4 linked regions of the Struthio camelus genome follow. The protein of the gene in region 1 purifies or fractionates together with the protein of each later gene. This does not show direct contact. Links are inferred from orthologs where the notes say so. Each region holds a gene or a part of one and is shown in the gene's direction. Other genes may lie near its edges. The genes, in order: CCT2, RFWD3, IGBP1 and YAP1.

Region 1 (7,639 bases):
AAAAAAAATTACCTTTTTTTTTTTCTTTTACCCCCTTATTTAGTACTCAAATTTAAGACTTGCTTTGTAACTGAATCAGTTTTTCTGTTCCAACTTAACCTCTGGTGCATGGAAAGTTTATTCTTCTATGAGCTAAACACTTGAAAGGTTCTTGCTGTATTTTTGTGTTTTGGTGCAAGAAGAAGTTGTTAATGTTTTTCCTTCTTTAGCAGGTATTTGTTATGTGGATTCCAGTTCTGTTGTTTAAAAATAAGTTACATTGTAAGGCACTTTTCTTAAAAGGATTTTGGCTTTTTTTTTTTTCCTGTTGTATTTATAGGAATCTTTGCCTTTAAATGTGCCCGTGCAGAAGAGCTATTTAATATGTTGCAAGAGATAATGCAGAACAATAGCATAAATGTGGTAGAAGAACCAGTAGTAGAAAGGAATAATCATCAAACTGAATTGGAAGCTCCAAGAACCCCTCGAACACCTACCAGTAAGCGTGGTTATACTGTTGAATGGCATACCTGAAACGTAATGTGATACTTAGCTTTAAATTGGATTTTTAAATGTACTTAACTAATGCAAATTAAATGCTATTTTCAGCTAAGAGATTAACTGCCAGTAATGCAGTCCCTTGAGATACTTCTGAGGACTTTCTTTCCAGAATCTGAAGTCTTGGGAGCAAAACTGCTGTAGTCAAATTCTTCAGCTTGAAAAACTAAGCTTTGCGACCTTAGTTTTTGCACCAGAACACTGCTTAAGTATATGCTTATTCAGTTGCTTTATAAAATATCACCATACTTTTCTTCTAGCATTGTTCAGATATGTTACGGTTAGGCAGTGCTCCAGTCTTTTTGTTAGGGAAAAAGTGTAATGGTCATGCCACGTCTACAGTGAATTTGGAATCTTTTTTTTTTTTTTTTTCTCCTCCTATGTATAGATGGTTAGGTAGAAAGAAGCCCTTTCAAAACTTCTGGGGACTCTAAGGTAATCCTAGGCATATGGCTTAATATCTGACAGTAGGAATTCCACTTTATTGCAGGTTACTTCAGAGAAATAGAAGTTTCAATGAATTAGGTCCTGGTTTTTAGGGAAACATGTTAATAGTGGAAAAAAGAAGTCGGATGGGGAGTTTATTGGGATAATTGTGGTTTACAACACAGGTAGATTTCAGTGACTGCTTCAGACATGTTTTCAGGTAAACACTGGGATAGTCTACTCTGAAGTTTGCTTTTCCCTTTCCTTCCCCCTAGCAAAGTTGAGCATTGTGACTATTTAATACTATTTTACATGTTTTGATTCCTCTTTTCAAAATTGAGGAGGATGATCTAAAGCATCTTGTTCATATACAGTAAAACGTTTCTATTCTAATATGGTTTTGCTTGTTTTCTAATTTAATCAGCTCCTGGGTTCAATGCGCAAAGCCTACCTAATGGCTATCCCAGATATCCATCTTTTGGAGATGCTTCATCGCATCCTTCCAGTAGGCATCCTTCTGTTGGAAGTGCACGCCTCCCCTCTGTTGGTGAAGAATCAACGCATCCTTTACTGGTAGCAGAGGAACAAGTGGGTCTTTTTCTTTTTCCTTTCGTATAATTGGTGTTCAGCATCCGTTCAGATTTTTATGCTGGTACTGTTAGGCTTGCGTTTTCATTTGTGTTTTTCAGTATCAGGTGTAATGTATTTTTCCCATATGTTAATTGCCTCAGAAGAGTGTTTATATTGCCACTTGAAAATCATACTTTGCTGGGGAAGAATAGCTATTTTAAGTTGTTCTTTATACATATAATAAAGATAAAATATACCCAAATAGGTAAATATATATTTTACATATAAGCTTTTTATTTCAGTAGCTATGTCTTAAACACACAAACTGTATTTTATGATTAAAGATCCTAGTCAAAAAGCTTCTTTGCAAATAAGCTTTCTGTACATAGACTCATAGAATAATTTAGGTTGGAAGGGACCTCTAGAGCCCCTTGGCAAAGCAGAACCAAACTCAGGTCCAGTTCTGAAGTTAAGAGCAGGCTGCTCGGAGCCTTGTCCAATCAAGCTTTGAATACTCCATGCAAGGAGATTTCAGTGTCTCTGGGGTGTGTGTTCCAATGTTTGACTGCTCTCCTCTGTGAAACTTTTTTCCCTAATACGTAGTCAGATTTTTTCCTGTTCCAGCTTGTGTCCGTGACCCCTTATCCTTTTGCTGGACAACTCCAAAAAGGGCTGGCTCTGTCTTCTCTTTAACCATCTCTTAAGTGGTCGAAAACAGCAATTAAATTGCTCCCTAGCCACCTTTTTAAAAAAAAAAAAAAAAAGTGGAGAGTAAGAAGGAATGAAATTTAAAAAAAAAAAAAGAAGTGTTTGAATTTTTTTTTCCTTCCCCCCCCCCCCTTTTAGGTGCACACTTACGTCAACACTACTGGGGTACAAGAGGAAAGAAAAAATCGATCAAGTGTGCATGCGCCACTGGAATCAAAGCTTTCAAACACGGAAACAAATAAAGTGAAGGAAGATCAGATGTGTACTGATGACAGAGACGCTCAGGTTCTCCTAGAGCCTGAAGGAGTCAAGTTTGTTTTAGGACCAACACCTGTTCAAAGGCAGTTAATGGAAAGAGAGAAACTGGAGCAACTTGGGAGAGACCAAGTTAGTGGCAGCAGCACAAACAACACTGAATGGGACACGGGGTACGACAGCGACGAACGCAGAGAAACACCGTCTGGCAATAAACTGGTTTATGAAAACATAAATAGGTTATCAATCCCTAGTGCCTCAGGGGTCAGGAGAGGTCGTCTGACATCAACCAGTACCTCGGATACCCAGAACATTAACAACTCTGCTCAAAGGAGAACTGCGTTATTGAACTATGAGAACTTGCCATCCTTGCCTCCTGTTTGGGAAGCCCGCAAGCTGAGTAGAGATGAAGATGACGGTTTAGGACCAAAGACCCCATCTCTGAATGGCTACCACAATAACCTAGATCCAATGCATAATTATGTCAATACGGAGAATGTAACAGTACCAGCAAGTGCTCATAAAGTAGAATTTACACGACGTCGGGACTGTACCCCAACAGTCTTCAACTTTGACATTAGGCGTCCAAGTTTAGAACACAGGCAGCTCAACTATATACAGGTTGACTTGGAAGGTGGTAGTGACTCCGACAACCCTCAGACTCCAAAAACCCCCACCACTCCACTTCCGCAAACTCCAACCAGGCGCACAGAGCTGTATGCTGTGATAGACATTGAAAGAACTGCTGCTATGTCAAGCTTGCAAAAAGCACTGCCCCGAGATGATGGTACTTCTAGGAAAACTAGACATAACAGTACTGACCTGCCTATGTGAGCCTGGAAAGCATTAAATCATTTGCACCTTTTGTGAAGTTTATAAAATTGAAGATACAAGTACTTTGCATTTGTTAACACGAACGCCTTTTATAGACTAATAGAAGTTTTTCTGCATACTTCATGTACTTGTCTAACTAAAGGGAATTAATGTAGAGCAAATATTCATTTAAGTAACACTATTTCGTTCTACAGTAGTAGTAATTACTGCATAGCAGCATCGCCACCTTTCACAGTGCCTCTTTAAATTTATTAGAGTCTGAGTGACGTGCCAGTTTTGAATCTATAAATATTCTGGTCTGGTGCCTGTAGTCATTAATGGCATTTATAACACTTTTCAAAGCCTCTTGATATGTGCATTATTAGCAGGTAAACCTAATCTTTCAAGGTCCATATCTTCATACTCGGTCTTCGTTCACACGGCTCCTCCAGAGTGAAATGTATGTAATTCATTAATTCACTCAGTTTGACTTACACAAGATATCTTGGTTCATCTCAAGGGATAGAAACACCACACCTTTTATGTTCGGTTTTTATATATATATATATATTTTTTTTTTATTTTTATTTTTAAGACCACATGGGCAAGAAGGCCTCAAATTCCTTAGCTTATGTGATGTCTGAGAGGTCATATCAAAGCCTGCTTGATCAGAGCTGCAAATGCATCTGAAACCAGCCTTAAGTCACTTCTGCCAGAAGAGAATTTCAAGTGGTGTATCAAGTTCCCTTTGAAATCTGACAAAACGTTGCTCTCATTAGTCTTTTGTGAAGGAATTCACAGGTTGGCTGTATGTATTAAGGCTCTTTTGTCATTTCTTAGTTTGATGTGCCTGCCTGCCTTTGCAGTTGTGTTTCTTTTTACCTGTCCTATAATGTCTTGTTTTAAGAGTCAAAATTTTGTACATAGCTTTTATTACTGTTCAGGGTTGTTTGTGTGTTTGTCTTATTCTCTGCATTTGACAAAGAAAGACTCTTGGGAGGTCAAATGGTTGTCTTTGTCCAGTGTTGTACTTTTTTACGCCTGACAGGAATATCCCAGCTCTCCAGCAGGATGCATTATTGCACAACTGGAAAGGTTTATTATGCATTTATTGTCTTCCTCTGAAGCATCAGACACAGGTTACACGGGAGGCAGGGTACTGGACTTGATAGTTCTTTATAGCAAATTGTACGTTCTAGCAATGTGCACCCATAGTTGATAGTACACTTTAATTTAGAAAGAATATGTAGTAAGTTATCTGAAGGTAGTATTATCTATGAGCATACTTCTTTTCCTTTTGCAGTTGGTGAAGTTGGTTACAATAGTAGCTGCTCAGTGTTACAGGTACATCCAGGTAGCATGCTTTTGTTGAATATGCCAGATGCACCCTTAGCTGTTGGTTGTTTTGTTTGTTGTAATTCTGAATAATTTTAGAATTCTGGCAGTATTTCCAGTACACCTGGGTATTAGCAGCAGAAGTGATTACTCTTGAGCCAGTGATTGCAAAGGAACTGACACTTGTGTGTACTGGTGTGTTTGGAAAAAAACAAACAAACAAACAAAAAAAAACCCTTGAACTGTATGTGAGGAAAACGTGTAAGAAAAGCCATTGGAGGATCTGAAAAAGAATTAAGGGTCTTCATGCAATAGTTGAATGGAAGTGTTACTAAAAACTATTTCCAGTCATGTAAATTGGAGTGTGTTCCTGTTCCCTTGTTAATTTTTCTTTGGTCTTCTGTCAGTTTGGTAGTGGCAACAGTGACAGCACCTGAAATACATGTTCCTTGTCACTTCTTTAAGGGATAATATCAGGCAACCTTTTTGCTCTGAAAGGTTTTGATTATTCTTTACAGACTGTATGGTACTGAAATACCAGATGCACAAAGAACAATTTGCAGAAGTGAAAGATGAGTCATTGAGACCATTATGAGAAAATGAAGGCGATCAAAAAAACTTGTCATTAGTGATTCCACTGTCGGCCTACGCATAGTATTGTGATGGGCTCATTGACATCTGGGGAGAACTTGGTACTCAAGAAGGTAAAGACTAGCTAGAGCATTTTGCAGGTCTGCAGTGTTACTGCTCCTTCGCATCTTTGCCATTGCCTCATCTTAAGCTGTGGACCGGTCTTGGTCTGTGCTGAAGAGAGATTACCAAGTGTTGTGAAATATATTAACGATTAACGATACTGGTGTGATGCTTGTTCCTAGCTTATAGCTCACTTAAATTTGTGAGCCATACTAACCGTGCAGCATGTGTTTTGAGGCAAAACTGTTTGACCTAGCTAGCTGCCTAGAAATGTTTGGTCCTCATCTGTATAGCATGAGTGTCTCAGAAGTACAGGTTAATTTGTTCCTTAAAACATACCTGTGAGGCAGGGAAGTAATACTCTTAATTGACAAATAGAGGAAGAGACTTTAGGTACCTTGTAAGTGACCTGCTGAAATTCCAGAAAGCAAACGTATTCCTCCTTAGTTCCGGTACATTGTCCTGTGCATTTATACTGACTAGTCTCAGAGGCAAAGGATGGTCCGAGTAATTTTTTTTATGTTGCTGCAAGTTTGCAAGTCGCAGTACTTTGTGTGTGAGGAGGTGTTTTCCGAACTCTGGTGCCTGGAATTGAGGACATAGTGAAATTTCAACTTCTGTGCTTTCTGAGTGCTTAGTCCTGGCGTTTTGTTAGTATCTTCAGTAGAAAATACATCAGGCAGAATTTAAGGGAAAGCCGCCTATAGCCTTAACTATGTTAACCGGTCTGACACCATATTTTCCAGGCATCTTTTTACCCTCTTTCATTCTGCAGGTGGGATAATGCTTTCTCATTTTGTGTAAGCTGGAAAAATACTGCGTAGTCCTTGTTCCCCGTCTTTAGCGTTCTTTCCTTTTCCTCCTCTTCTGCCCTTTGCAGTAGATGTAGTTGCAATGCACTTTACCCTTGGAGACTTGGTAAATATTTTTGCAGTTCAGTCTCTTTAAAAGGTTGTCATGTTAGACTTACTGTCTGTAGATCTAGGGTTCGGTTTTCAAATTAAATGTCTCCACAGTATTTAGATCATATTTATTTTGGGCTCACAAGCGTATAGAGCGAGAAGTTACAAATATGTAACAATTTTCTTTAATAATTGAGACATGTTAATTCTACATGAACTTTTGTCCTGCGAAAATGGCAAGATCTACTTCATTCCACTTTTCATCCGTACCAGGCAATTGACTGCTACTCTTCAAGTAAGACATAAGACTAGGGGAAGCCTTAAACTGTAGATATTCCTGCAGTGCCGTGATTTGAGAAAGACATAAATTAGAGTACCTTTTAAACACGGAAGTTCTTTTTCAATTTATAGAAATAGTAAAGCTGGAGCAGTGGCCAAAAATACATAATAAAGATTGCATCGGAAATACCATTGATGAGAATATAATCCATTAGTTATATCAGGAAAATATTGTTTTCCTTCTCAAACTCGTACCAAGAAGAGGTCCAATTTTAATTTTGTAGTGTTTCTCAGTGACTCCATAAAACAAAAGAAAAAAGACGGTTCTGAAAACTTCAGCTATCCTTAGAACGCTCTTGTTCAAGGAATATTTTTAAAAAGTAACTATACAGGTGTACTGATGAGTACAGTTTGCATACGATAGGTGTTGAATGTAATGGTGTGCATTCTCAAACCCTGTTCCTATTTAGGTCTACAAAACTTGACTTAGAAGTGTATGTGTTTAAATAAACATTTCATATCATAAAATACCTTTTTTTTTTTCCTGAGATGTTTAGATATTTTTGCATGTTTAAACCTCTGACAAGGATTTGGATGTAACAAGGTCCACAGAAAGGTCTGAGCTGTACAAAGCCCGAAACAATGTCAGAACAAGGTTGCTCTTTTGCAGGGGACAGACTAGCAGCTGATTTTGTTGGATTTATGCCCGTGTGCATTGGCTCGAAATATGGCTATACTTGTCTTAGTTTTATATGTAACTATGTTCACAGTGAGACAGAATCAGGAAAGAGCAAGTTGCCTACATGCACTGATGGCGAAGTAAAAAATGCAAGTTCTGATTAATTTCAGTTACTACTTTGAGCATATAATGTTGGGTCTGAGTTGGACCTCTCTTAGCAGTATTCTCTTCCTCATGTAAGGTGGAATCAGTGATGAAATGCCATTTCTGCCCTGTGCTAATTTGTTTACGGCTGCAAAATAGATGAAACTGATTGACTAGGAGTCCATAGTGGACTTAAATTTGAAATTTCCCAATTTTCCCCGCAAGAAACCAAAAGAAGCTTGGTCCTCCAGTTTGATAGATAGAATTAGGCATTTCTGGAATTGAAGAACTTGTTCAT
Region 2 (7,067 bases), on another chromosome or scaffold:
AGAAGGGAGGAGGCAGGACAAGGTAGTGGGGGTCATTGCTGACGAACTCTTGCTTGTCTCGTTTCAGCTTTGGGATCGTGCTGTGGGAGATCGCCACCTCCAAAATCCCATTTGAAGGTGAGATAAAAGCATCTGGTCCCCCTGTGTGAAAGCAGCGGGGCCCAGCTAGATCGCTGGCCAGGGTCAGATACTTGTGCTCCATTGCAGAGCACCCAGAGGCATGTGGGTCCCCATGGCAGTGCCCAGGATGCCTGGGTCTGCCCAACCTGCAGCACAACAGCCTCTAAACGTGGCTTTTCCCAGGACTCCAACTCCAGCACAGTAAAGCTTTTCAGCACATGCTTAAACCACAAGCGTGCAAATGATTCTGTCTCTGTTTGATGCTCCTATGCGCTGAAGCATAAACACATCGCCTTGCTTCACTGGAGCCCAGTGGCGTTATGGCAGAGAAGAGGGGTTCACTGCAGACACAGTTCGGGCGGTTTCTGTGCTGGCTCCTCTGCGCTGTAGGCTGCAGGAAGGCTCTCAAAGTGGCCTTGCACTGGCTTCCCTGCCCAGCAGCCTCCTGTGGCAGCAGAGCTCTGCCATGCCGGCCTGACGTGGTTGGTGTGTGTGTGTTGGTTTAGGCTGCACTCCCCAAGAGATCAGGGAGAAAATCTGTGAACACCATTATCGGGAGCCTGTTGGGGAAGACTGTCCCAAAGACCTGGAGAAAATCATTGACCAGTGCCGGGCCTTTGACCCTTCCCAGCGCCCTTCTGCTGAGCGTAAGTGTTTCTGCGCGGGCTCATCTCCCTAGCTGTCTGCTCCTTCTTCCAGTCCCATGCTACCACATTTCCACATTGCTGGGCTGTCCTGCACTTCCGCTACCCAAGCCGAAGGGACCCATGTCTTCTGCTGCTGCAGCAGATGATGGATGTCTGCTCAAGAGCAGCAGTAACGTGAGCTTTGCCCCCTTGATGGGTGTGTGGGGGGGGGGAGGGGGCGAAGACAAATGCCCAGATTTGTCTTCTTTTCAGCAAATAGCTGAGCCCAGCTTTCTCAGGGCCTCAGGCTGCCAAGGTCAGCAATGCATTTAAAAGGGCTGTCCTGCTCTCCTGTCCCACTGGTGTGTGACACAGGGCTGATGGTCCTATGCAGATAACCCTCCTGCCTGGCCATGCTGCTTGCCTGACTCTCTGTCTTCTCAAAGAGCACGCTTCTCTTCGCAACCCCATCCATAGCCTGTTTCCTGGACAGGACCCGGTTGGGAAGGAATGGAGGATCAGTGGCAGCAGCTAACTCAGTGCTGTGGCCCCTGAGAGCACCAGGGCACCCAATGTGAAAGGGTTTTTTTCAAGTTGTCCTGTTACCCAGGGTGCTGCAGCCTTCATTGACCGGTTGAGTGAAAGCACATACAGTTTTAGGGCTAGCCTAAATCCTGCGCTTTCCAGCCTCTGTTTGCATGCAGACGTGTCGTGTAGGTGTCTCCAAGGATGCGCTTCCCGTGCTTGCTCAGTGCCAGCAGCACTCCAACTCCTCCCTGTCCAACAGATTTCCCAAGCCGACGGCAGCCCTGCAGCATAGGAGACCAATTGCAGGCAGGTGCCTGAGGCTGAAAGATTTTTTTTTTTTGCTGTTCACACTAGCAGTGGTATTTAGTGATAAACTCAGTCCTTGATCTCCCGGGGCAGAACATTTGTCAAGTGAGGCCTGGCCATCAGAAGTTTCCAACTTGGGCCAAAGGAAGAATTCTTACTAAGCATAGTCTAGATTTTAAACCCAGGAAAAAAACGCTGTGATCCCTGATCCTGTGCTCTCAATAACACAGAGGGTCAGATCCAAGAATTCCCTTGACAGGATCCTTTTAAAGGGGTTGTCCTGTCATGTCCGAGAGCTTTCAAAGGATGGCAAATCCATTCTGTCGCTCAGTGGTTCACAGAATCACAGAATGGCCACGGTTGGAAGAGACCTCTGGAGAGCATCTTGTCCAACCCCCCTGCTCAAGCAGGGTCATCTAGAGCACATTGCCCAGGATCACGTCCAGGCAGGTTTTGAATATCTCCAGAGAAGGAGACTCTTAATTTGTCCCTTTCTGCTTTCTATTTGAATTGGACTGGGTTTCTCTTTCAGCCATCACTCCTTGTCCTACCTTGTTATGCTAAGGAGTCCCCTAGCAATAAAAGTCTCTTTCTCCTGTAGATAGCATGATGGTTCACCCAGTTAACATTTGTCCATGCCATGAAAATAATCACTAGGCTATTCATTAGGCATCATGAAAGAGTAAGCAGTCTGTCAGACAAGCACTGGGCTAGGAACAGGAGCCATGGGTTGATCCTCGCTCAAATCCTGCAGCTCCTGTAAGCTGGAGGAGCAGTCACAACACAAGACAGGAACATTTCCTGCCTTGGGCTTTTAGCAATAAATTGCAATTTCAGGAATTGTTCTGCTCTGGGGATGATTTCACTGCCTCTGAAGCTGGTCTATGTTTGCATCAGATAAATAATTGATCTCAATCATAAGACTTAACAGATGCAGCAGAAAAAGATAAAGAAACCTTTCTGCTGTGCTTGAAGGCACAAGTGACTGAGATGATAGTACCTTTTCCTCAGTCCATCATCTTTCCAGGGGGAGAAAGCGTCCTTTAATCACTCCCACCACTACCAGCTCGATATCTACACAAGAGATTTGGAGAGTTTGGGTAAGAAACCCCCCCCAGCTCTTGCTGTGCTCTCTGCATCTCAGCCTCTGAAGAGTGGTTTTCTTAGGAAACCCTGCCTCAGGGAATGGCCCGCTCTGAGAGCTGCTGCTAGGAAATGCTGAAAATCCTCAGGTTTATTGGCTCCAGCAAAGTTAAACCGAAGACACACTGTGTCTTCAATACTCTAGTCCTACCCCATGCCCCCAGCCCGTTGCTCAGCTGTGCCTGCATGGTGCTGAGCTGAAGGAAGTCTTCTCACAGCTCTTTCCAGGCATCTGTCTGTGTCTACGCCTGCTTCTCTCTGAACTGTGCTCACGCGTGCCTCTCCGTTCAGGGAAGTCACACCTGCAAGGAACAGCACAGGCGCGCTGGCGCAAGGCGGCTGTTAGGCTGGCGCACAGAGCGATTTCACCTGCTAGTTTTTGTCAGCCAGGAAGAACTATCTATCTCATGAGAGAAACCCCCCCCCTGCTGACAGCGGATACTCTGTTTCCATTCAGACGGTCCTTGTGTTTTGCAGAAATCGTGGACTGGCTGGCTGACCTCAAGAGAAGCAGAAACCAAGGAAGCTAACTGCAAAAGACAGGCTCAAGTGACCCCAGGAAACCAGCCAAGCAGCTTCAAAAGCAAGAGAAGAGCAACGGTGTGCCTCCCTCCCGTAGGCCTGACGCGTGAAGCTTGCCCCTCTGCCCCCTAGTTGCAACGATCGATTGTTCAATACACCTTTTATGTATTTATATGGCAAGACTCGCAAGTCTGCAAGTAGTCGTGCCTGCTAGTTTGCGCCTTGGTTTCGCCACGGAGGTGGCTGGCGAGCGCTCGGCCACTGGCTTCCCGGTGCCTCCAGGTTTGCCGGCGGCAGGCCTGCGCCACGCTGCGCCAGGGAAGGCCAGGGGCCTCCGAGAGGATCCTTTCAGCCCGGGCGAATCAGGGGACCACGATGCGGCCAGCTCGGGGCTCCCTTCGCCGAGGAAACCGCGGCAGGCGCGGGCCGCGTGTCCTGGGGGAAGCGCCGCCACCGAGCCAGGGGCTCGCGACGGGGAGAGCGGGCCCCGCCGTCGCCATGGCAACGCCCCCGCCCTCCCGGCCCCTGTTTGAATCCGCTCGGGCTCCCGCTCATTTCGTCTGAGCTGCGGCTCCTCCAGTGAAAACGCACTTCCTGGCTCTTGGCCGGCCCCCCGCCACGCGCTGCCCAATCAGCACGCCGCTCCGCAGCCCCCCTCCATCGGCTGGCCAGACACCCGGCCAATCAGGGCACCAACCGCCTCTCCTCCCCGCCCCGCCCCTTCTCCCGCTGTCTCTCGGGCAGACGGACAGAGCGGCTCGCCAATAAAAAAGGCTCGTCTGGCTTCGGCTCGCCCAATAGAAAGCGTCTCTGCAGGTGCGGGAGAGGCAGCTGGCCAATAGGGCGGCGGGGGTGGTGCTCCAGCGGCGCGGCGCTCCAGCGGCGCGGGAGGGGCGGTTGGGGTCCCGGGAGGTGAGTGCGGGGCGGCCCGGTCCGGCCTGGGCCGCTGGGCCCCCCTGCAGCGGGGGCGGCCCGGGGGCGACGCCGCCCACGCCGCCGCCCTGGCAGGGCCCTCCCGGGCCTGGCCCCGCCGGTGACCCCGGGCCGGCGCGCCGCGAGGCCTGGGCGCCGGCTGTGCCCGGGGCGGGGGGCTTCACGGCGGCCGCAGGGCCAAGGGGGCCCGGAGCGCTGCGGGCCTGGCGCGGGGCGCGGCCCTGGCGGCGCTGCCGAGCGGGGCGCAAGGCCCCTGCCGCCGCGGGGTTTGTCCCGCGCCTTTTGCCAGGGCCCATCGCAGTTGCAGTATCCCCTCAAAAGGCACAAAGAAACCCCGTCATAGAGGTCGAGTTTCGCGGCGTGCTGAGTTTTGGTTATCTTTGTGTTAAAGCAGCCGTGGAGGAATAAAGGCTGGCGATGTGGAGGCAAGCCTGAAGGTCCGTCAGAGCAGCACGGCGCGCTGCGGCGGCCAGAAGCCCCTGCGCAAGGGGAAGCTTGTGCTTCAGCGTTAAGCTCTCGGGTTAGTATTACAGCCGCCTGTGTGAAGCAGCCTGCTGTGCTGGTACTCGGGCTTCTCTGCGCGAAAGCGCTCCGACTTTTGTGACCTGGGCCCAAGAAGCTTGGCTGTGGGGACATGTAGGCCCTCCCTGCTAGTGCCAGGTGACTGGCTGTCACGGGGAAGCACTGATCTTTACGCCTTTCACGAGGCTCCAAGGTTTAATGGTGCAGATGCCAGTATTACCTCGTCTTTTATGAGGAAATATGAATGGCGAGTTAGCCCAGGATGGTTAATTTATGTAATATTTTTAAGCCTCAGTGTTAATTTATGAGAAAATAAGGAGTCTCTTGTGCTTTTGGGTGGCAGTTTTATGAGTTTAGTGCTAGAGAAGCAGTATAGCTGAATGTTATCACAGGAACATGTGGTTGAACTTTATTGTATCTTGATTATATGACTGTTTATTCTCGTGGGGGGACAGGGTTTGGCATCTCCTCTTTGCCTAGCTTGGGTCGAAGTGTTATTTAGGTTAAGACTTATAAAATGCTTCATAACTTAGAGTTTACAAAAAGGTTTATAAAAATACATTACCATTAGTACATCTCCCTCTAGTAATTCATGTATATATTTTCCTAGCTATCCCTTGTGCTAGAAGAAGTCTTTGCTCTGTTTGCACACGGCCTAGCCTAATAAGTTTAGGTGTGTGCTTTGGGCTCTTAAATTTAAGGCTAAAGGTCTACCATCTTCAAGGCCTTTCAGATTTATGGTTGCCTAAGTATCTTTTGAAGATACAAATAACCTTCAGCATTTTGCAGAACTTGACCCACCCTCAAAAAAAGAGGATTGTTTGGTATACTTAATTATTCAGTTGAAAAAATCTTGCTTTCTTGTGTTGTAAGACTGCAGAACCACAGGTCAGCTAATGTGCTCTAATTCTGTGGCAGCTTGATTATTAGCAATGCACAGCCTTTTGCCTCTTCTTTTTTCCTTCAAAGCCTAACATACTACCTCTTTTTAGGAGGTTACCTGCCGTCTTCATCTCAAAGGTGTTTGGAAGGCAACCATGCTTAAATAACACATGAGTTTTATTGCAAAGTTTTATGTTTTTTTAGTGTCAGACTGGATATGGCTCCACAAATACTGATACTGTAGGTGCCTTACTATCCACGGTGTCTCTGTTTTGGGTTCTGGTATAATAAATACCCTTATTGGATTTGTATGGTGTTGATGAAGTAATTAAAAGGTGGGTAAGGTTCCCAGTGAGCTGTTATTGTAATGGAATTTTATTTATCTATGAAAAAACTTTAAAAAAAAAAAAAAACTCTCCTCCAGAAGGAGCAATGCAATGGACAAAGGACTGTGCTGTTCAGCTGGTTTCTGGCTGTGTTTGTAGGTGTCTGTGTAGCGCCTGTCGCTGTAGAGACTTTAGAGCGTGAAAGCATTTTCCAAACTCTGTACTCCAAGACCCAAATGTGTTTACCAGCAAGTAGATGATACCAGCAAGAAATCCCTAACTGTCCACTTTCATCTGAAAGCTAACTTAAGTCGACTAGGTAGTGTTGAGCCAAGGGCTTCAAAATCAAGGACCCTGGGAGGGCGCTGCCTTCTGTGTCAGCTAACATACAGCTTTCGACTTGAGACAGCCAGTTTAGCTTTGCAGCGTCTCTAAAGCAAAAGGACCTATGCTTCTCTAGTCTGAATTCTAAAGGTTTTTGTAGTGACTGACTGATGCACCCAATTCATGCCACCATAATGCTACAAGCAGGCACAGACTTGCAGGTACTAGTTGTTTTTTATCAACTCTTTACAGAAATGGCTCAAGAAGAGATGGAAGTTGATCTGCAACCAGTGGCTGGTTACCACGTAGAGAACCACCGGGCGCTTCTCTCAGAGCCCTCTCATCACAGAGTACCACATACTGCAGCGCACAGTGAAGAAGGAGATGTTGTTACAGTTCTTCCTGCTGATGGAGCTGTTGTGATATCAAACGCTGATACTACAAGGACTGCTGCTGACTCTGACCAGCGGTTGGGTTCTGCCTCGGCTCTCCGTGGACTGCAAAGGCTACGGGGAGCATTTGATCAGCATCAGGTATTGCCTGGGCTGCAGATCACGCAGCGTCCGCAAGTAAGAAGAGCTCGCAGGCAACAAAGAATTGGTGGTTCCCAGAGGACAGTCAGTAGCAGGTAAAGCAGAAATGGAATTGGGTCTGAACCCTGTCTTATCACACCTGTGATACCGGTTTAAAAAGCGTTGTGCTTCCCGGCTTACGGAGCCCAGCTCGGTCCAGTGTGTGATTATGGCCGAATTCTGTGCACCTCGCATCTTTTGACCTGTGTAATGGCACACTGTTGTCTGATCTCTTCTTGCAATCTTTTGCTCCTCATTAAATT
Region 3 (7,731 bases), on another chromosome or scaffold:
AGTATGTGTCAGCCATGACCGCTGTGCATGTGCTGTATGGTAGACTAAGGAATTTCCAGGTGTGCTTCAGTCTGGCTGGAGCATTATTTGTGTGTACCGTGCTGTAGGGCCACACGCAGAAGCTCTAACACCTTCCAGGAAGCCTGGATGTACTTGTAACGTGTCTAGTGCTCCTGCGAAGCACTGGACAGGCCCTCTGGATGTGCAAAGCCAGATGTTCTGTACACATGCACGAAATGGAATACACCATGGCAGTCTTGGTTTTACTACCTATATAATGGAAAGCACGTGGGCATGTTTCATGTCTGGGAAATGATGGGTGGAAATATAAGGACACTCCAGAACCTGAGGTGAGATTGATCCCGGGACATTAACTTCATGCTGAGAACCTATGGCACCAAGACACCTGGTAGAGCTGGAGAGTGGAAGAGATTGATCCCCTGCTTGTAAAAAACTCCTCCTTTTCACACACAGTGGAACTAATCACAGCTACTATTCCTGTAGTCCCCAGCTTGGGGCTCTTTGTAGTGTGAATAGGGGCTTGCTAGATAATTATGCCTGCCAAAGAACCATTTATTTTTTCCTTGTATTAAGAACATTAGCTCTGTAATTGGAAGGGGCAGCTCAGAAAAACATGTCCTGCCAAGCAGACCTCAGTCAGCAGGAGAACAACATGTGTAGATATTTGCAATTTGTTATGTTGGGGCTGAAGACCAGCAGATTGTGGGTGATTTTGGTCACCAACTCTTACTTATTTCATGCTCCTGTGCTGTAAGTAAAACCTATTCTTGACCAATTGGAGCAACCGGTGAAAACAGGGCTGATTAACTCCTAGCAGGGAAATTCTTGAACTTCCAACCAGCTCAGAGGTGAGCTGAGCCACTCGGCTCTTAGAGGCAAGGCCTTCTCAGTCTCAGAGGAAACAGGGCCTCACACAGATTTTTTACTCTCTCAGTCTAGCTCATGTCTGATGAGCAGTGATAGTGTGTCTGAAAGCCAGTCCTGTGCTGCCCCTGAATATCTGGGTCAAAATAGCCCCCACGCAATGCTAAGGGAAGGGAAGCGGGGCTGGAGTCCCTTGCCCTGTCCTCAGCCTGTTTGCAATTATTTGGAGAGCAAGCCTATAGCTCCCTGCAAACCTCTGCTCTGGTTTGCTCCAAGAGGTGAAGGCCTCAAAAGGGCATGCCTATAGGAGATACTTGTTAACGATTAAACAGAGATTTCCTACGGGAAAGGTGATCTCTGAACTGCTCAGAGAATCTGTGGATAACAAAAAGGGTGAAGGAGTTCACTCTAGCAATCTCTTTCATTCTGATCCTTAACAGAAAAGTGCTGCTGAAATCTTGGCTCTTTGATAGGTTTATTGTAGCTTTTAATTAATCCACGTGTAAGGGGGAAGATGCTGTACTGATAGTGGCATTGCCTTTTTGTTGAAAGGGAACTAGTTTTAATTGTTAGGGATGCCATAGCATTTTGTGCTAGTGAAGAACGAATGGCTGTTGATTCCTGGCCCCGTTCCGCTTCCAATAACTATATTAATTAATTTTCCCACTGCTGGACAGAGTGTTGTTCTTCACTTCCTGGCTGGTATGCAGGAATACCACGTGATGACGTGTAAAACTGTTGACGTATCTCACAGTCCTGGCGCCTGTGTTTTCAGGCATGATCAAAATGGTCACACAGAGAGAGGATGACAGAATAGTAAAACCATTGGGAGTATATTCAGGACAAAGCATACAGGAACCTAAACCCACAATTGTTCTGTTTTTTATGATTAACTTTTTATCAAGCTTCCTCATGTATGTATGAAGAAGACAAATACAGTAGATGATAAACTGACTCATTCTAGTAGGTTAATTGCTTCAGGCCTGTCCTGAATTACTGTTGCACCACATAGATTTTTCACATCTAGGTCAATTACTTTTATTGCGCTTCTTATAGACCAATGTCAGTTTGTAGAAGTCCAGCTTTAACTCTTATCTGCCTTATCCCTATTTTAATTTCAGAGATATTGTAAGAAGCGACTCGGGAGCTAAAAGCAAGGGAAGGTGAATGGCTTTTTGTCTTACTTTTGTTTCCAAAAAAAAACCACACAGAGAAGAAAGGGGAGGCATTGCACTTATAAAATACTACACTGCCTGGGTGTACTGAATGCTGTGCATTGTGTTGTCTGGACTGTCTGTCAGATTTAGATCCCATGCTAGGCAGTAAGAGTCCAGTACAAGCCATTAGTGAATCCCAGCAGGGGCACTGGCCTCAGTGTCCTAAGGCTTAATGTCATTCAGACTCTTCCAAGAGGAGGATAGAGGACCACTGTTCTAGTACCTAGGGCAAGACGTGGTACCTTCATGACCTGTACGTTTGCCTGGGACAGCCTTGCCACAGCTGCTCTGCCTTAGGGTGGCCTTCAGGGAGGGCCTGCAGGGTCTCACTGCTAGCAATGACTTAGCTCCCTCTGGTGCAGCCACACAGACAAAACACACCTAGGTGCACACCAGCACCTTCACCGCACAGAAATGTGCAGGCTGCCACCACGCAAACCGCTGCGCTGGGAGATGAGAGCAGAGCACTGTGCAGAAAGACTAGCATAGGGTTCAGATGCAGAATGACTAATTAGCCTGCTCTTCAAACGGGCTCGTCAGGACAACATTGGTTATACTTATATAAAGCTTATGGTTCCAGAGCTTAAGCATTTGATTCCAGCTTGGCTGGTGCTGCATAGCACCATATTATGTTATGTAGACAAACTCCAGCCTTGCACTGCATTTTTCTTCTGGTAAGATGAATGGAAAGAGACTCACAATATTAAAAAGAAAAAAAAACAAAACAAAACAAAAAAACAAACCAATAATCTCCAGAGGTGTGGGTATTGAAGCAAAAGTCAAATGGGAGGCAATCGTATGAGTTCTTGGAAATCCAGGTCCTCTTGGTTTAGGATGAAGAATTCTGGTGAGCTTGTATTTAATGCTATCTACAAAAAAAACCCAAGGCCTAAAAAGATGAGTAACTGCTGTTATATATGGGGATGCACGTAAAGTAAGACAAACAGGCCATGAGCAAAAGCATCAGGTGGGAGGAAAAACCAGATTAGTCCAACAGAAACAAACTTCTGCCAGTTTTCTCTGTAAAGTCTCTTTATATTTGTGGCTCATTTGCTTGAGTACAATGAATGTGAGACATTGCTCTACGCTTGGCCAAGGGAGGGTATCCCCATTGGTAAAGAATCTCTTATGGCCAAAGACATGAATCATTGCTCCAGACACGTACAACACTGTTTTATTTTAAAAGGAGCAGAGAAATATAGTGCCTTTGAAATAAGTAATGTCCTCCATGGAGGCTCAGTCCATGCAAGCAGAGAGCGCTGACATTTGAAGACGGCCTTAGGAGTGGTATTGCCCTTCCCTGGGTCCATCCGCTGTGTGATCCCCTTCTCCCTCACAGTCATCACCTTGGCACCTTGGCTGCATTCTTCATCGTTTGTTCTCTTCTGCCCTCCAGTCACTGTCTAGCTCCCTTTCCCCCTCTCTGCCGCTGCCCCTGAACGCTGTGTGAATAACATGCCACTCGCTGCCAGGCGCAGGTTACTCTGCTTGTGCCTTATAACCCTTGTCCCGCGGTGCGTCTCCTTGTCTACAGACCCCGGAAGTTGTGGAGAGCTGGACCAGGCCTTATTTTCCGTTGTGAGACAGGATGTCACTATGGTGTCAACCTTAGCTGATGTATATGCTGTATGTCATATTAAAATCAGTCTGATTGGTAATGGTAACAGCCGGATCGGCAGAGCCAAAGGAAAAGTGGTTAGCCAGTTGCGTTTTCAATTTGTTTGTCCTTTCCAATCTAATTTCTGGCAAAATCCGTCTTCTTTGTATACTTTGGGCTCTCTATTCTCTTAAGAGCCCAATTTTAAAGTAATTTGTTTAGTGTCGATGTTGTTTCATAAATGATACGCTATTTTAACATGGTAGCTGCCTCTTTGCTGTTCCCACTCAACTCCCGAGTGGGAAGACGGCACGTTTTCTGACAATCCCGCTAATTATTGTTATTTCTGCTGGCTTAGAGGTTTAACGCCACCTCCTCCCAAAGTCTCCTCGGAGGTCCCCTCCTTGGCAGGTGCGGTAGCGGAGGAGATAGGCGAGCCCGGCGGCGACGGGCACGGCACAGTCTGCAAGCCAGAGGCCCGCGCGAAGGCGAGGGCGAGGTGCGGGGCGTGAGGGCGAGGTGAGGTGAGGCGAGGGGCGTGAGGTGAGGCACGTGAGATGAGGTGCATGAGGCTGAGGCGAGGCGCGTGAGGCGAGGGGTGTGAGGCAATGGGCGTGAGGGCAAGGCGCGTGAGGTGATGCACGTGAGACGAGGCGCGTGAGGGCGAGGTGAGGCGCGTGAGGGCGAGGTGAGGCGCGTGAGGGCGAGGTGAGGTGCGCGAGGCGAGGGGCGCAGCGCAGCCCTGCGCGCGGGGGGCCACGCTGCTGTGGCTGACGGCGGCTGCCCGACACCCCGGCCCCCCCACCCCACCCCACCCCACGGGGCCGCCGACCAGGGCGGCCCAGGCCGCTGCCCCGCGCCGCCCCCCGCCCCCTTCCCCTCCTCTCCTCACATGGCACCGCGCTCCGGCAGCGGCGGCCGCCCTGCCCCTACCAAGATGGCGCCGCTCGGAGGCGCCGCCACTAAGATGGCGGCCGGGGGGCGGGGCCGGAAGCGGCGCGACGCGACGCGGCGGCAGTGGCTGCGCTCCGTGCCCAAGATGGCGGAGGGGGCCGGCGCGGAGGGGCCGCGGCTGGCCGAGCTGCTGGCGGCGGGCTGGCGGCTGTGGGAGGAGGTGGAGGCCGGCACCGAGCCGTCCTCGGCGGCCCCGGCCGTGCAGGACAAGGTGCGGCGGGGGCTGGACGCCCTGCAGCAGGCGGCCGCCATGGTGGCGCAGCTGGATCTCTTCAGGTGAGGGGCGGCGGCGGCGGGGCGCGGGGCGGCGGGTGCGGGCAGCGGGGACGGACTCGGCTCTCTCGTCCCGCAGCGAGAACGAGGACGTGGAGGAGATCGCCTCGGCCGATCTGCGCTACCTGCTGCTGCCCGCCCTGCTGGGGGCCCTCACGTTGCGGCAGGTCAACCCGAGCAAACGGCTGGAGCACCTGGAAGACGCCCGCGCCCATTTCTGGCGTTTCCTGCGCCTCTGCAAGAGCTACGGCCTGGGCAGCTTCACCCTGCCCGCCGGCAGCCCGCCCGCCGCCGCCGCCCCGAGCCCCGGCCCGGCACCGGGCCCGGCCGGCCTGGTGGCCATGGCGTCGGCGCGGCAGGCCAAGATCGAGAGGTAGGCGAGGCGGTGGGTCCGGGGGGTGATGGAGCCGCTCTGCTGGCCGCTGGGCGTTCGCTGGCGCTTAAAGCGAGGGCCCACCGAGGGGTTGTGGCCCTTCGCGGCGGGGAGAAGCGGCTCGCTTGCCAGCCGCCTAACAAGTGTCGTGCAAGCTTTCCTCGTTTCTGGGCCTTTAGTCACCGCTGACTGCGTAAAGCCACGCCGTGTTTTAGCTTTGTTTTTCTTTTCACCAGCGCGCTTGTAGGTTGATGTTTAGTGAAGAGATGTGAAGCCTCTTCGTCATGCTTTACTTTAAGGCTTTTGATAATAAAGTCATCGTTGAGTGTAGCGGCGCAGAAAGGGCCCAGCTGGGTTCCACGAGCGCTTCCCTTGCACCAAAGCAAAACCTGGTTCCTCTTCCAGAAGGTAGTCGGAGATTGGGCTAGGCTAGGAGAATAAGTTGGAGACGTTCGGCGCAGCAAAACCTTTACGACGTGGGATGGGCGTCGTCAGCCACCTCGGAGCCGTGCGCGACGCCCCGAGCGAGCGTGGCTGCGCTGGGGGGGTGCCGCTGCGCCCGGCATCGTCCACCTGTAGACGCACCGCTCCCACGGCGCTCGTCTGGCTGTGCCCTGCCTTCTGCTGCCTGCGGAAAAACCAGAGGTGCCTGTGTTGAGAGTTTGGTTGAAAGCAGGTCGTTACTTGATCTGGGTGCAAGGTGAGGAGCTGCAATTGTATTTGCTTTCAGGAATAATCCATAGGCTGTACAGACGCATGTTGTTAAGGAGGCCTGTGTCTAGCCCAGGCCTGTGTCGTCCGAGCTGCCTTACCCTCGCTCTCCAAGCAGGACGCAAGCACGGTGCTCCAGCGTCCCGGAGCCCGTGGAGCAGGCTGGCGCTGCAGGAGGCAAGCTGAAGCAAACCTGCCCTGCTGCACGATTCTTCTAGGCTGCTTCTCCTCTCAGCTCCTGTAGTTTTCTAATCCTTGGTTCTTACTGTTCATTTCTCACTGTAAGTAAAGGAAGTTGGACACAAGCCTAAAATGTATCAAGTTGTCTTCCCCGCCCCCACCACGCACACACTTCCAGTTCTTATATCAGGTTTTTGTTTGTTTCTTTTAATCACAGTTTTGGTTTTCTGCAGATCAGAACTCTTCATGAATTAATCTGCCTTATAAGCAGCTTTTTGATAACTTCGTATAATGTAGAGACAATTCAAAATAGCTGTTGTATTGGTTATCTCAGTGAAGGAGCTGAAGAGTTTAATTCCTTTTTCTCCAGCAATTAGCCCTGCCAAGTGTGCCTAATTTTGCTTGAGAGGCTTAACTTTTTAGGTTTGCTGACCTCTTAGCACAAAAAATAATAATTGGTAGAGAAAAGGCATTTTAACTGTCTTATTGTAGCTGTCATTAACAATGAGGAGCTACTTTAAATTGGAACAGTAAACCGTCAGGACCTCCCTTTTGGTACAAAATTCTCTTCCTAAATATCTAATATAGTGTTAAAATGTCCTACAAAGAGTAGCAAAGATCCAAAGTCAAGTCTCAACTTGAGTGGACAGATGAAAGTGATGGGGTAGATCTTGGGAGGAAATGATATTAGCACTGTATGCATCTTTCTGCAAACACTGTGTGTTTTCAAAGCTTTTGCGAGTGAAGTGGATCTTTTCTGTATTTTTCCCTGTGTCAAAAAACTTAAATTGTCAGTCAGGTGGTTCTAATTGAGGTGGGTGGATATATCCTTGCGCTTGGTGTTTTGCCTTGTGCTCACACTTTAGAGGTCACCAGCAAGTAACCCTCAGTATGATCTGGTGCTGCCATTGGTTCTCTTCATAATGAAAATTTTCCTCTAAGTCATTGCAGGGTTGTTATTCTGTTGTTAAATGAATGGAAACTGCTTCCACGGGGAGGTTTTTCTAAGATACGGGGAGCTTTATGAACGTCTGGGATTTGCTTACGCTAATGAGCGATGATCTCCAACCGGCACCTATGTAAAAAGCGATTAAAATGGGATTGAGGCAGGAGGTAGCTCTTTCACTGAATTTGACTGAATTTCAAGAAAGAGCAAGTTGTTTATTTTAGAAAACGCAGTATCTGGGTTATGCTAGAGAAGGTTACTCAGACGATCTCATTTTATTCTCTGTGAACCAGGTATAAGCAGAAGAAGGAACTGGAGAACAGATTGGCCTCTATGAGAACCTTTGTGGAGAGTGGGCAAGCAGATGAAGATCAGATGCGGGAATTTTACCTCCTGCAAACCCAGAAATGGATCAACGTCAGCCTTGAGGAAATTGAGAGTATTGACCAAGAAATGTTCATTTTGAGGAGCAGAGGTACAGTAAAACAGGTACGAGATCTCTCTTGAACTGCAGATCCTGTGGACACTTAGACCTGATGACAGACACTGTTGCGGGTAAACGAACCTCAGAGGCAGAGTTTTGTAAGTTTTATTC
Region 4 (7,253 bases), about 170 Mb from region 1:
TAAGGCAATCTTAATGTGGAGGTGACAATGAATGAGCCAGATTTTCTTAGTTTGTATCTGAAAGAAATGGACATAACCTTTTGGCCTGACATAGAAAAGAACAAGCTGGTAAAAGTTGCTTGAGAATCAGCAGAGAAATAAGAGGAATCCACATTTTTGCAAACTATGTAATGGACAAAATAAATGGACAAATAAATGTATTTGGATACCTGTAAAAGTAGGAATGATATCAGGAATTAAGAATTTTATGTAACTTCTTCTTGACACCACCACTCCCTTTTTATTTGGTTTAGGCTGTGGCTAAGAAGACCTTGTTTAGGAAACAATATTAAAAAAAAAAAAAGCCTATTAAAATCAGATAATATAGAAAGATGAAGCTGGCTGTCATCATCAGTATACCGAAAATTGTGTCTCATGCCTCTTTTCTAACAAATCTGTTTCCACAGATACCTATCTCAATAGTGTGGGCGTGTCAAAATCAGTGGTGGAAACTGATCTCATCTTTGAAAGTGCTATTGTATGTTTAAAAAACAGCTTCAGGGCAGTTTTATTGTTTCAGTAGTAAGATCTCTTAATCTAAATATTTCAAGGTATAAGGGTTCATTTATCTGTTTCTGCAGATCTGTTAGTATCAAAACTCTGTAGACCAGGGCATCTCAAGAGAAATTTTAAGTTATGTGACCACAAACTGTTGAACTCCAAGCTTCATAGCTTACATATAATGAATCTTCATTAAATCTGAGGTATTTGGATATTAATTGGTATTTTAGAACTTTCTTTACCTGAACCTTAACTGTAACAGTGTTAGAAATCTCTGTAATAAATAGTTTATGCACAAAGTCTTTTTAAAAACTTATTGATAAAATAATGCGTTTTTAAAGATGTTCAATGTATCTTTCTTCATTACGCTATGCATTTGTACTCTTGAAATCTTCGGCTGAATATCTATGTTCTTGTAGAAACAAATTAAATTGATCCCACTCTGGCATCAGTAAATCAAGGAAGTGTTACACCAACTCCACATGTTTGAACCAAAGTTCAAGCTGGTTAGATTCATGTTTTATTACTCTATTACCTATTACTCTAAAGACAAGAGTAACCCTATGTAAGTTCCGATGGTTTTATGCTGAAGTGTTTTAGTTTTTCTTTTTAAACGACCTTTTTACTGACTAAAATTAAAGAACCTTCCCCCTTACCTTAAATGATATAATATTTATTTTCCTGCTGTCAAGCTTGGTATATTGTTGAGTTTTTTGAAATGCCATGCCACCACAACTTAGCTTGCTTTTTTTCGTGTTTTGTTCGGCAAACTTTCGGTGTGCTGTCACTGCTTTTAAACGGTCAAAAACTCAACTTACGTTGGTTGATTCAGTAAGGACTGCAGACATGGGATTTCTAATAGCAATGGGAAATCAGTTTAATTAACACTCACATTTTGATGTTGGTCTTCTCTTCCTTTTTGGTGGGCTTAGGTTATTTTTGTATGAAACTCCAAAGACATTGTGATGCTGAGTACTGTAAAACGCAACTTAAAGCTTGCTCTCTTTAGTGAAACTGAGAATCCAGTGTTTCATGCACCTGAATCCCTATACAATGCCTGAATGTAGCTAGATGTCTTAAAAATGGAGCCACAAAGCTTGTATGCTGTGTTGCTTAAAACAGAATACTATTTTTAACTTTCTCTATTTCACTGTTATCAGAAAATAATGAGAATAAATGTATCAAATCTCTGCCTCTCTTAAACAATGCTTTTAGGGAGTTGCTTATCTTAATTTAAGATTTATGGTCTTGAATAATTCCTCAAAGGAAGAACATGTAGTATGGAATTCATTATCTTCTAAATAACAGGAGAGAAATTTGGGTGCTGATAACAGCCACTGGATAAAATTCACAAATTGTCCCTGGACCAGAAAATGGAAACGAGGTCTTTTCCCTCCAAGTTGACTGCCTTAGCCACTAAGATAGGGTGTTAAGAGTTTTCATGATTCCTTGGTCCAGAGAAAGACGGATTCTGCAGAGTAGAAGAGCTTCAACAGAAGAATGAGAGAGATGTGCTTCTAAGCTGGAATACTGTGTAGTCTGGGAATTTAAAGTTTTCCTAGAGGAAAAAAGGACACTATATGCAATATGGGAATTTACTCTAGTAAAAAAGGGAACAGAATTTACATATCTTCTAATACTGTGTAAAGTTGTAGGGAGCAGAAGGAAGCAGTTACCTGTTTTAAAAGAAAGGAGGTGTCTGCTACATGCTTGTTCATCTGTTAGATGTTCAATTACAAGACTGAATGCATCAAAAAAGAAGACATCTAATTTCTGAATCCAAGTAGGATTTGAGGCGGGTGACCAGCTTTACTGCTCTGTCAAGACTAAAGCTTTTATTGATATGTGCAGAAGTAGGATGTTAATTTGAAGAACCTAGTTTTCATAGTGTTGGTTGTCAGCTGAGTGTAGTTTTTGGAATGAGAAATTTGGAGTTCAGCATCTAAATTCTGTTAAAGCACTTTGTGAGAATTAGCAGACTTTTAAATAACATTTTGAAGATGTTAATAAGAGCTAGAAAGAGAGTTTTTCTTAGACACAAATATTGGAGACTGAACAGATGCATTAACAAATGTTAAGTGAAAAAGAATTATTGATAGAACAACTTTTGTTATTAATATATAGTTCCTAAATATTTTTCTATTTCAAAGGACACATGATTGGGTCTATGTATATTTAATCGTCTATATTTTAGGCTCTAATTATATATTCATGTGCTTACATGCTTAATTTTACATTTGCAATGGATTTTACATTTCCATTCAGGGTATTGGCACTGTTCAGACGGCTAGAGCTACTTACGTCCGTGTTGTAATGTCAGGACCTTCAGGGGAGATGTGATAAAACTACTTAAATAAACTCCGGTGTGTTTGTTGTGTTATGCCATCAAATAAATTGTTACAACTGAAACAGAATGATACATTTTATTCAAATTGTATGAATATGCTCATTGGTATCCATGTTGTCATTAACAGTTTCTTTTTCCTCTTCCTCTCAGGATGAGAATGGCCTATGTTATCCTTCAAACAAAAGCCATGAACAGACATTTGCCTATTTGATTGTGGACCCTTTCAAACGACACGTCCATACGTTGTATCATTGTTTTGGTGGAAGCTTCTTTGGAACCTAGTTTATTAACCTGGTTGTTCCCAAATTTTATAATAGAGGTGTTGCTCTTTCTGCATGAATTCAAGTAGAAGTCGCACGGTTTTCTTAGGAGGAAGCATGTACTCCTTCATTACACAACCTCTGAGTGGTTACATGTTTTATATCGCTGTTACTGTGCGGTTAGCGAAAAAAAGTTTTGTATAATTTTTGACTAGTTTATTTTTAGAGGAATACTTTCTGAAGCTGTTTGCCCGATAGTTGTGCCCCCTCTTCCCTCACCCGCGTTATCTAATAAACGGCATTTCTCAACATGTCTCGTCCCTGTTTATAAACCCTTTCAAGATCCGCGACGCATAAAGTCAAGGAAGGGGAGGCTCCGGAGTCAGCGAAATCTCGGCGGCAGTGGGAGAAAGTGCGTCAGCCGCCGCCGCCGCCGCGCTGCCCCCGGCTCCCCGCGCCCGCTCGGCCCCCGCGCCCGCCCGGCGGCGCCGCCAGGTGAGCGGGCGGCGGCGGCAGCCGCAGCCCCCGGCCGCCCCCTCGCCCCGCGCGGGGCCGCCCGTGCCCGCCCCGAGCGCCGGGGGCGCGGCCCCCACCCCCGGGGCGGCGGCTCCCGTCCCCCGCGGAGGCGCCGGGGTCGCTCCCGCTGCCGCTCCCCGGGCCGGGGCCGGGCGGGGGAGGGGAGGGGAGCCGCGCCGCGCCGCGCCGCGCCGCGCCGGCCGCTCTCCCCCCGCCCCTGGCGGAGCGGGCGCCCCTGGAAGTTGGGATGAAACTTGCGGGAGGGGGAAAAGTTCTGGTTGACTGAACTTCTTCGCGGCAACGCAGTGCGGGCGGGCGCCAGTGGGAGAAGCGCCCCCCGGGGGCCCCGGAGGGCGCGGGGAGCGTCTTAGGGGAGTGGGGGTGAGCCCACGCGCGTCTCGGCGCGCACCGGCGGCCGGCTGCGCGCGCGGGGGGGGCGGGCAGCACCCACGGCGCGGGGCGCCGGCGGCGGTGCGGGCGGGCGCGCGCAGGAGAGCCGCTCGGCACAGGCTGCCTCCGTCCGAGACGGTGCGGTGCGGGCGGGCTCAGGAGGGGCGGAGCTGGCTGTGGAGAGTGGTTCGGGCGGGCGTAACTCAGAACTTTTGTTTGGCGTGTTGTGTGAGTTAGTTTCCGCCGCCGGGACAGAGGCGCCGGCCGGGCTGGGCCGGGCTCGGGGAAGTGCCGCACGGCCAAAGTTGTTTTGCCAGTTGCTGCTGCCGGGTTGATTTCCCCGCTGAGGGGTAAGGAACACCAGCGAGAGCAGGACGAGCCGCAGCCCGGGGAGCGGGGCATGCGGGGCTGGGAATCGGGGCTCTGAGTCGCCGAGCCCCGCCAGGGAAGCGCCGGGGGGTCCCGCCGGAGCCATGGATCCCGGGCAGCCTCAGTCACAGCAGCCGCCGCAGGCAGCGCAGCCCGCGGCGCCGCAGCAGGCGCCGCCGCAGCCCCCCGGCGCGGTGTCGGGGGCCCCGGCCGGCGCGGCGCAGCCCCCGGGTGCGGGGCCCCCTCCGGCCGGGCACCAGATCGTCCATGTGCGGGGCGACTCGGAGACCGACTTGGAGGCGCTGTTCAACGCCGTGATGAACCCCAAGGGCGCCAACGTGCCGCACACGCTGCCCATGCGGCTCCGCAAGCTGCCCGACTCCTTCTTCAAGCCGCCCGAGCCCAAGGCCCACTCCCGCCAGGTGAGGGGGAGGGGGGCCGCCCGGGCCGGGCCGCGGAAGGGCGGGCGGGCGGGCGGCGGTGGCGGCGGCCGCCTCCCCCCCGCCGCGGAGCTCCTCCCGGGGGAGGCGTGCGGGGGAGGGGGGCCGGGGCCGGGCGGGAATCCGCCCCTGCCGCGCGGCCGGGCCGAGGGGAGGGGGGCGCCGAGGCCGGGACTCCCGTGGGGGAGGGGGGGTGGGTGTCGCTCCCTTTCTTCCTCCGGCTGCCTTGTGGGGGAGTCCTGCTCCCTCCTCTTCCTCCTCCCCCGCCTTATTTGTTCTTCACAGAGTGTTGCGGGGGGGGGGGGGGAAAGGGAAGGGAGGCGTCGCGCGGCTCCTCAGGGCGCTGAGGGGGAGCCGGCCCCGCGGCGGGGCGGCCGTTGGTGACCGTTGGCACCAGCCCGGCCCGGCCTGGTCCGTCCCGGTCGGCGGCGAGGCCTCCGGCTCCACATCCGCTGGGCGTCGAGCCCCGTGGCTGCTCTCCGGGTCTGACCGGAGCGGGTGGGGGGAGCGGGTGGGGGGAGCGGGGCCCCCGGCACCGCTGGTGGAAGCGCTTTGCTGGGAGGACCGGCCGCGCGGATTGCACTTTCTGGCCTAATCCGGCGGCGCTCATCCGTCCCCGTGGGGGAGGGGGCTGCGGAGGCCGTGCCCCCCCTCCCCTCCCCTCCCCTCCCCTCCCCAACATGGATGTAGATTTTCCACCATTTCATCACTGCGCCGGGCTGGGCAGGAGTCGTGCCCCCCCCCCCCTTCCCCCGTCAGAGTGAGTTCCGGAGCCCGGCGCTTTCTGTGCGTGTGGGTACCTTTAAGTCTGGCTGTGTCGAGGGTCCATTAAATTAACCGTCGGTGCGTTGGGCAGACATGATGTGAAAGCTTAAATCTCGGGGACCTGAACGGACACGAGAAACTGGTCTGCCGGTTTGCAGTGCAGGCTGAGTAGGAGATGCAGGATAGGGCCAGCGCCGAGGCACTGCTAGCGTTTGATCTTCTAGCAGAGTGACTTTTGTGCCAAGACCGAAGTGTTGGTGCAAGTATGACTGAAAGTTAATGTTTAGGCTGCTACTGCCAACTTTTTGGAAGGAGGTTGTTCCTACTGGAGTGTTTTTATTAAGTAATGAACTTTGTTGCTAAGCTATAAAATAGGTTTTATTATTGGCTATTGTCACTTTATCTATGTAGCCAGTAGGAGTGAAACTTGCTCTGTGTACTGGTGCCTGGTACTCTTGTTGTTAAGGGTCTGTCAACATTTCCATTATTAAACTTCTGTTTTGAAGGATTTATAACTTGGCTTCACAAGTTTACTCCAGGCTGAACCTTGGCACATACTCTCTTAGGCTAGGAGTTAATTCATTTTCCAAATACTCGAAAACCAATCTGGCCTTTATATTGTAAGACCGAAAACAAAATAGAAAGAGGTGGGACTGAGTTGCTTCTGTATTTTTGTTTGCTTCTGAGTTGCCAATCTTTGAATTGTTGAATAAAAATCATATCGTTTCATCAGCATTAATAACATGCTGAAATACACTGAGGAATAGTGCAGTTATTACATAGCTTTTACTCAAGTTATGCAAGTTTTATCACAGTTTGATTATGCACGGCGCTGGTGTAAGTTCATCTACTGCTTATTGCTGTGTCCTGTTAAATACAGTGAGTGCAGCTAAATGGCTCTTGTATTTGAAATGCATTTAACTTGTACGACGTTCATACACCATGTACTTTTAAGCTTAGGGTTATCTCGCCTGTATATATTGCTCTACATCCGTAATGCATACGGCTTAGTTGGATCACTGTTTCTTGTACCAGTTGGTGGTTGTTAAAATATAAACTTAAAAATCCAGCTGAAAGTAGAAAATCATTTATTTCATTGTTGACTCTCTTTTAAAAAGTCAGGCTGTCTTAATTTTCCTTTTTTGTTCGTTAGTGCCATAGCGATATTCTGCCTAACAGAAAGGGTCTTTAGGTTTCTGTAATTCTTTCTCTCTGTTTCTCAAGAATAAAAGCACCTCACGTTCAAGTGAATTGCAACTTGTGCATTTTATTAAAATCTAAGCTAATTCTTTGAAATACGTTTCCAATTTCATATATGAAACTTTGTACTCACATACAGGCTTAATGAAACAGAAATGTCAGTCTCCATGAGAATACATAAATGGGGCCTCGTGTATGGTGCAATACCTTGTGTAGAGAGGTGTGGCAATGGCTGATATATGCAACTTATTATAGGTGTCCATGTTGTTCTGGTGTATCTGCAAAAAAGAATTAATTTATGAATATATGTAAAAGTCAGCCTTATTTGAACTCAATTTTCAAAGCTGCTTTTCTGTTCTGTGGTGGACGCCTATCTGCTGACGAAGTAGTTCTACGTAGTTATGACTGGCAGCTTTCTGGTGAGGA

What was found.
Region 2: the proteins of CCT2 (region 1) and RFWD3 purify together in Homo sapiens (co-immunoprecipitation; 3 studies listed by BioGRID and IntAct, with this or other methods). This does not show direct contact. The link is inferred for Struthio camelus from reciprocal best matches to the Homo sapiens genes CCT2 and RFWD3.
Region 3: the proteins of CCT2 (region 1) and IGBP1 purify together in Homo sapiens (affinity purification with mass spectrometry; 4 studies listed by BioGRID and IntAct, with this or other methods). This does not show direct contact. The link is inferred for Struthio camelus from reciprocal best matches to the Homo sapiens genes CCT2 and IGBP1.
Region 4: the proteins of CCT2 (region 1) and YAP1 purify together in Homo sapiens (affinity purification with mass spectrometry; 3 studies listed by BioGRID, with this or other methods). This does not show direct contact. The link is inferred for Struthio camelus from reciprocal best matches to the Homo sapiens genes CCT2 and YAP1.

What each region holds. Positions count from the first base shown.
Region 1 is NC_090942.1:40,739,207-40,746,845, forward strand, and holds the start of CCT2 (T-complex protein 1 subunit beta), read left to right. Parts: upstream 1-4,628; 5' UTR 4,629-7,639. Other genes in the region: FRS2 (fibroblast growth factor receptor substrate 2), read left to right, coding at 320-478, 1,388-1,551, 2,380-3,330. UniProt on the Homo sapiens protein: Component of the chaperonin-containing T-complex (TRiC), a molecular chaperone complex that assists the folding of actin, tubulin and other proteins upon ATP hydrolysis.
Region 2 is NC_090951.1:22,426,899-22,433,965, forward strand, and holds the start of RFWD3 (E3 ubiquitin-protein ligase RFWD3), read left to right. Parts: upstream 1-4,067; 5' UTR 4,068-4,157; intron 4,158-4,569; 5' UTR 4,570-4,698; intron 4,699-6,484; 5' UTR 6,485-6,486; coding exon 6,487-6,860; intron 6,861-7,067. Other genes in the region: MLKL (mixed lineage kinase domain-like protein), read left to right, coding at 68-117, 627-767, 3,201-3,253. UniProt on the Homo sapiens protein: E3 ubiquitin-protein ligase required for the repair of DNA interstrand cross-links (ICL) in response to DNA damage. Plays a key role in RPA-mediated DNA damage signaling and repair.
Region 3 is NC_090952.1:27,588,245-27,595,975, reverse strand, and holds the start of IGBP1 (immunoglobulin-binding protein 1), read left to right. Parts: upstream 1-4,726; 5' UTR 4,727-4,738; coding exon 4,739-4,929; intron 4,930-5,005; coding exon 5,006-5,299; intron 5,300-7,429; coding exon 7,430-7,625; intron 7,626-7,731. UniProt on the Homo sapiens protein: Associated to surface IgM-receptor; may be involved in signal transduction.
Region 4 is NC_090942.1:208,824,719-208,831,971, reverse strand, and holds the start of YAP1 (transcriptional coactivator YAP1), read left to right. Parts: upstream 1-4,238; 5' UTR 4,239-4,526; coding exon 4,527-4,844; intron 4,845-7,253. Other genes in the region: CFAP300 (cilia- and flagella-associated protein 300), read left to right, coding at 3,038-3,169. UniProt on the Homo sapiens protein: Transcriptional regulator with dual roles as a coactivator and corepressor. Critical downstream regulatory target in the Hippo signaling pathway, crucial for organ size control and tumor suppression by restricting proliferation and promoting apoptosis.